2 linked regions of the Caenorhabditis elegans genome follow. The protein of the gene in region 1 interacts with the protein of each later gene in a pairwise test. Each region holds a gene or a part of one and is shown in the gene's direction. Other genes may lie near its edges.

Region 1 (3,756 bases):
CTAGCCAAATTTTGACCAAAAACTCAAAAATCTTGTGCAAAATTTGAATTTCGCGCCGACCACACACACACGATGCAAGTGCGCTCTACTGACAAAAATTGCAAAAATCCGTGATTTCCTAGGTATTACCCCGCAACAATTTTGCGCTTACATGGAGTGCAAGTGCGCTCTAATGAGAAAATTGCCGAAAAATTCAATTTTTGCAGACTTTGGAAGACTCGCCAGCTCTCATGTCGCTGGGTGTGAACGAATATTATCCATACGTCTTCTTCAAGCTGAATATCGATTTTTTGAACAAGTGATGACGTCATCTGGATACCACCGAATTTTGTACACACACATTCCCCCCTCCATCACCACCCAAGAACAAAAATTTTTTTTTTTCGAATTTCTTATTTTTTTACCCCAATTTTCCTGTGATAGTCGCAATTTTTCACTACACCCAATTAAAAAAAAACATTTTTCAAAATTTTATGACAAAAAATATAACGATTTTTACAAGTTTTAGAAGTAGTAGATTGGCCTAAAATTTAGTGTAATTTTAGATGAAATTTCACTTATATGCTCGCCTTCCCGTCTTTTTTTTGGAATTTTTCCTTTATTTTTTAGGGATAAATTCCGCGCCTTTACTCTTATTATGTATGACAAACTACAACATTCAGTCAGTCAGTCCCCCCTCACACACTCTCCGATTTCTTTACATTCCAAGAGATAAATGTATTTTTTATTGATATTTTTTTTTGGATTTTTTGGGATTTTTCTGCAAGAAAATTGGTCAAATTTGACCGGAAAGGAACTAAAAATCGATTTGGAAATGAGCAAATTTGAATTTCGCGGAAATTCAATTGTGCTCTAATGACAAACTACCTAAAATTTCAATTTGCACTTGAAACTACATAGAAATTGATTTTTTGACTGAAAAATTTGAATTTCGCGCAGGCGCAAATACGCTCCATTGAGAAAACCACCTCGAAAAATAGCGAAATTTCAGTGTTTTCATTGATAAAATATGCAAAATTAGGATTTTCATCACGTTTTACATGAAAAATTTGAACATCGCGCCCCGATCACATGTTGAAAACGCGCTCTAATAAGAAAATTCGGAAATTTGGCGAAATTTGTCGTTTTCCTCGGGAACCCAAGTGAACTTTTTTGATTTATTCACATTTTGTGTTGAGAAATGCACAAAATTTGGCTTTTTCACTGGAAAAACTAAAATTTGCTCCAACCGAACGTTGTAAGTGCGCTCTAATGAGAAAAATGCGTTTTTGCCCAAAAAGTCGTTGAAAAACTAAGTCTTCGTGAAGAAAATGCGATTTTTCCTATAAAAATAACCTAAAAATCCAATTTCTGTTCAGAAATTCAAACACGGTGGTACAGCAGCTAGATGAGTGCAAACGCGCTCCACCGAACAAACACAAATTTGACCGGTTAGGAAATTTTCAATCAAAAAATTTCTTAATAGAAAAGATAGATAATTTCATTGCGGCCATTTCTTATATGCATCGCAAAATCTTGTGATGGTTTTTTTTTTGTGATGGTTTTCGAGATAGTAGCCAATATAGGTATCCAGACTGAGTACCATGAACCAATCCATCTAGTTTCTGTGCTACCGTGGGCTCCAACCGAACGTTGTAAGTGTGCTCTAATGAGAAAATTGCGTTTTTGTCCGAAAAATCGTTGAAAAACTAAGTCTTCGTGAAGAAAAAACAGTTTTTCCTCTAAAAATTAACAAAAAATCCAATTTCTGTTTAGAAATTCAAACTTTGCCCCAACTGTATGTGCGCTCCACTGAAAAAGTGGCCAAATTTTGTGATCTTTGCATTAAAAAATATTAAAATGGTTTTTATTACTGAAGAACATCGAAATTTTACTAAATTCTGACATTTCTCAATCTATTTCCACGCTTTTCCCGGTTGCTGGGCACCTCTGCACCACCCGGTTGCCGTGGCAACCGGCTTCCACTCCAAGGAGCTCGCGGAGCCCATTGATTCCCTCCGGGATAAAATGGCCGAAGTGTTCGTTTCGGGACAAATTTTATCGGCACGTGGATTCGGTGATAATCGGCTATCGATTCGATATCAACTCAGTTTTGGTGAGAGCATTATCGATTTTTTTCGCGGAAAATTTGAGTTTTTCCTCAAATTTTGGATTGAAAAATTGTTTTTCGTGTATTTTACATTAAAATGTTGTTATTTTTTCGATTTTTATCAGTACATCGAGTTTGAAACGTGAAAATTATTAATTTCATGGATTTTCTCATTGGAGCGCGCTTGCATAGCACATAGGTTGAGGGAAAATAGAATTTTTCGTTAAATTTCCCTGAAAATTACAATCGTTCTGTAAAAACATTTTAAATTTCATAAATTGAACGTAGAAACATTTAAATTTTTCAATTTTCGCGTCTGAGCGAACTTGCAACATGCGGTCGGCGGGAAATTTAAATTTTCGAGTTTGAAATTGATTTTTTCAATTCTTCTAGAATTTTGAAACTTCAAAAAAAAAAATTTCATCAGAAAGAAAGAAAAATAAATAAATTTCCAGGAGGCGGTTGGAGAGTGGTTCAGGGTGAAAGTGAGGGTCAGACTCAGACAGATTGTCCTTCAGTTTTCGAAAATGCTCATTTTGCTCATCCAATCGATTTGCACCTGGCAACTTCCAGTATTCAAGGTAAGAGACATCATGACACCCCCGACACATAGATGGAATTTCCAGGTTGGCCCCGACTTTTGCTCCAAATCTGGCACCATGACAACTACGGTAGACAGGAAATTGCTGGGTACGGTACTTTGCTCCTTCCTACCTCTCCCGGGAAACATGTTCTAACATCTGGATGCTGGCGACCTAAAGGAAGTTGGAGGGAGGAAATGATGCATAAACTGGTGGGAGGAGGACTGCAGGTGAGTATGCAAGTATGCAAGTTCGCCCTAGTGAATATTGGTTATAACTCGGTTGCTGATGGAGGTAGAAGATAATTGTGTACTGATAAATTGTTGAGCATAAAATTTGGTATACTTTGTTAGTTTAGAATTTTTAAAACGCTAAAGCCATTAGGGAGATGAGCAAGATATTCACCTGTAAATTTACAATAATGGGAAGACTTGAATATGGATTAGGTTAGTTTAAAGGCGCATAACATCCTTATGGCTGTTGGTAGCAAAAAGTTTTCAACTAACAATTGTTAAGCACTAAATTTTGCACATTTTGTTAGTTGACGAAATTTTTGAAAGTTTAGCTATAAGGGAGATATGGGCGTTTGAAGGTTAAAAAAAAGGGCTTCATTAAACTTTTGAGTTTAAAGGCGCATAACATTTTTTGGATTGATCATAGTAAAAAGTTATCAACTAACAATTTGTTAAGCACTAAATTTTGCATATTTTGTTAGTTGACCAAATTTTTGAAAGTTTAGCCATAAGGGAGATATGGGCGTTTGAAGGTTAAAAAAAGGGCTTCATTAAACTTTTGAGTTTAAAGGCGCATAACATTTTTTGGATTGTTGATAGTAAAAAGTTATCAACTAACATTTTGTTAATCACTAAATTTTGAATATTTTAATATTTAACAAGTTTATTAAAACTTTAGTTTTGAGGACGGTATAGGAGTTTGTAGGTTAAAAAAGAAAAGGGCTTCATTAAACTTTTGAGTTTAAAGGCGCATAACATTTTTTGGATTGTTGATAGTAAAAATTTGTAACTAACGATTTGTTAAGTATTAAGTACAACGTTGCGGAAATTTTGTTAGTTAGCAAATTTTTTA
Region 2 (3,756 bases), on another chromosome or scaffold:
AAAAATAATTCAAAAATTTAGTACTGGGAAGAGTGGTTTCCTGGGTCTCCTGAACATTTTTTCCACTAAAGTTTTGCGGAATGTATTTTTGATTCATAGTTTTTGATTTTATTTAATGGAAGATGAAGTTTCGTCGCATTAGAAATACTCTGCCAAGAGATATTATTTTTATTAATTTTCAGGCCAAAACTTGTTTATTTTCTACAAATCAAACAGTTTACAAGATATAGCCCTCAACTGTACGTCTCCTTTTCGGGAATTCAATAATGAGTACAATCCTGTAATAAAATTTTCAAAAATTCGTTTTCCCGCTGACTTATCAGTGATAAACGGTTTTCAAACATCTTTTCTCAAATTGACATTATTGGAGAAAGCGGAATCGAAAGACGACTCCTCTCCAGAAAATTTTCTTCCCTACATCCCTGTTGGAGGAATATCCCGCATGGCCGAGTGGTTATTGCGTATGTCTCAGAAATTTTGGTAGTTGGTTCAATTCTGCCAACTGACAAACTTTTTTGTTTTTTGTGAGTAATCGGGATTCGAATAGAAATACTCGATTTTATACAAAATATGGGTGCGTCTCCCCTAATAAATATGGGTGCCTCCTCAAACTTCAATCAATCAAAACTCAGCTTTAACTGATTCAACGGGTGCTTCTGTTTTTGGTCAAACCGAACTCAAAAATCAAGAAGACTCCCATTGACCTACTGAAATTTTCACGAACCCACTAACAGGTTCGAGGCGAAGCCGAGAACCTACGCCCGGCAAGGGGACTCGCCTTACACCCCCTACAACTGGCGGGCCCGCAGGGCCCGCTAGTCGATAAGATATTAAATTTATAATTACCTATGCTACAAGAAATTTTGAAACATATGCAAAAAAATTTATTAAATTATTATAAATTGAACCAAAAAAATGCAACAATATTTTTTGCTGGGATAGCAGGAAAACGCTCATAACACCAGAAATACAAAATTTTTGTACTTTTCGTATCTTCTGACATATTTCTTCTGCAACTCGTATCGATTCTGGTTCCAGTGACGTTGTTTTGCATGACCTGGAGAACTGAACAATTTTTTAAATTTAAATTTTTTTTGATATGTTTTATTGAATTTTTAAAAGAATGCTTTATCCGTAAAAAATTTTTATCACAGTATTTTTTTTGATGTACCGCAGTATGCTTGATAATTTCAACAAAATGTTTTTGGCTTTGGAAAGGCAGTTTTCAAAGTCTTAGACGCTATATACCGTATTTCCTCTATTAGTCTCGCATGCTCGACTAATTTCCAATTGATCCGTAGGGGTGCAAAACAACTAGAGACAGCCTCATAACTTGAAATAAGTGGCCAAATTTTATCAAAAACTTAACCGTTTAGATACCGATTAAATCACTAAAAGTACATACTTTTCCTATATTTTGTCAACAATTTGAACGCTTTTAAGTCTAGTTTTTCGAAAAAAATTCTGGAGTTTTCACACAGTTTTGCTGGACCGCCAAAAGACGTCTTTGCCGAGACTATTAGATGGTGCAATACTAAAAAAGGCTGCAAAACTAATTTTCGATTGGCTAGTATGGTGCAAGACCAATAGAGGAAATAAGGTAATTGTGTTTGATAAAACTACCATTTTTCAAAACGTGAAAATTGTCTTGTTTGGATTCTCCCACCACCTCAAAAAAGATTTTACAATTTTACAAATGTATTGTAATGTTGAAGGAATTTAAATATTGCGTCAAATTTCTTAATAAATATAAAATTTCAATACAGTTGTCCATTCACCAGAGACTGAACAAGTTTTAACTGAAACTATCCAAAAAAATCTGCAATTTTTGGTTTGATGCACATTTCTGTAATATGTGAACTTAATCTCATCGCATGCATTGCTCAAACAAAATACCGAAACTCGGTTTTCAGTTTTGTTCACTAAAAGTCCTATATCCTTATATTCTCCTAAATCCGGAACATCTAATAACCAATCGACAGTTCCTTCCGGTTCTCCAGCTCTTCTACCAGCTGGTTGTCGTATCCATCTGCTGCGAGTGCGCGAAATGCAGGTGCCCTCCCCCTTCCTTGTCTGTCCCTCCGCATTGCACGCTCTCTCTATGCAGATGTTCCCTTGGCAACCTAGAGACTAGTTTACGTAACGCTTCTCACAATTTTGACATTGATTGTCAGTTTTGGAGTGTGAAAAACGATGGAGAAAGCTGATAGTATTGTACTGACAATTCATGGAAACGTTCGGACTACCGAGGTAATTTTTTTCCTATTTTTGTTGTTATAACTTCAGAAAAAAAATGAGAGCTTCTTAACCTTATTTGTTAATACAGGTAGTAAAACAAGTGAAAATTTCAAAAACTAGTCACTTATTCTTTTGAAATATAAGTTCGAAATTCATATTATAATAAAAATTCGTATTTGCCAAAAAACTCCAAAAAGTCGATTAGATAGGTTTTCACAGATATTGCAGAGCTGTTGGTGGTGCTTTTTTTGAAAAATACGATTATTTGCACAACCAGCAGCACTTACCGTTTTATTAGTGGAAGTTTTGACAACCATGTATTTTCAAATAGTTTTCTGATAATTTTTTTTAGAATATAATATCTGCAAAGTTTAATAGATCAAAAACAGATAACTTTTTTCGCTGTAATGTGCCGAGCAATTAAATATAACTGAAACTATAATAAAACTAATTTCAGTTCCCGGAAGAATCCAATGTTTGTGTCAAACTGAGCACTGTTGCAACAGGCGATTGGAAAATAATCAATGGAGAGACAGTTTCACTATCCTCGTTCTCATTTCGAGGCGCTGATAATCAGATTTTCATCGATTTGCCCTTCGAGTGTGGTTTGAAAGGAAGCAGCCCTTTTATGTGTGAGTTATTTTGTAAAGGTAATTTCAAACAAATAATACATTTATGTACATTTTTGATATATGTATTATATATATATCAGTTATTTTTACATTTTAAACTTACAAAAAAACAAATAAAGCAGTTGACTTATTTTTTGTAAAAACCAATGTACAGTTAAAGTGAAGTTGTTGGAAGATTACTATATATAAAGTAAATTTTCCTTCCGTCCAATGTAGGCTATGCCAACACGCAAAATTACCGTTACTTTGAAAGTTTTCATTTTCAAAAAAATCAAATTAATTTCAAAATTTCAATGTTATCTTCAAGGGGTATTTGAAATTTATTCCAGCCAGTTGGATGCGCCGGAGGCGCGATCAGCGTCTGGTATATATATATATATATATATATATATATATATATCAGTTATTTTTACATTTTAAACTTACAAAAAAACAAATAAAGCAGTTGACTTATTTTTTGTAAAAACCAATGTACTGTTAAAGTGAAGTTGTTGGAAGATAATTAATAAATTTTTGTTAACATATTTTCACTAAAAGTGCAACTTTTCAGGGCCTCGTCTTGTACTCAACTGTTTTTCTAAAGACCATTCTGGTAAAGATTGTGTGACTGGCTATGGTATGCTTCCGATTCCAACAGAGCCTGGAAAGTGAGTTTTAAACAATTTTTCACTTAGTTCAAATCAATTCAGACACGTTTGCCGAGTACACTGTTTCCTGCCAGAACCTTCTTCGACAGTTCAGCAATTGATTGCAAAGTTGAGACGAGTGAATGCAGAGTTTGTGGATCCAATGTTACCGGCGAATGCAGATGGAAGATATGGTAAGAATCAAAATTTTGTAATTTAATTGTTTTTGCTGTGAGAATAGAAGTAAGTAACACCGGGAA

The links. Proteins that work in one complex are often made in the same cells at the same time.
Region 2: the proteins of mksr-2 (region 1) and mksr-1 interact in a two-hybrid assay, tested with the Caenorhabditis elegans proteins (3 studies listed by BioGRID).

The regions. Positions count from the first base shown.
Region 1 is NC_003282.8:2,304,792-2,308,547, reverse strand, and holds the start of mksr-2 (B9 domain-containing protein 2), read left to right. Parts: upstream 1-2,000; 5' UTR 2,001-2,007; coding exon 2,008-2,095; intron 2,096-2,544; coding exon 2,545-2,670; intron 2,671-2,715; coding exon 2,716-2,900; intron 2,901-3,756. Other genes in the region: vha-11 (V-type proton ATPase subunit C), read left to right, coding at 207-302.
Region 2 is NC_003284.9:1,067,471-1,071,226, reverse strand, and holds the start of mksr-1 (B9 domain-containing protein 1), read left to right. Parts: upstream 1-2,097; 5' UTR 2,098-2,193; coding exon 2,194-2,250; intron 2,251-2,695; coding exon 2,696-2,870; intron 2,871-3,420; coding exon 3,421-3,517; intron 3,518-3,559; coding exon 3,560-3,690; intron 3,691-3,756.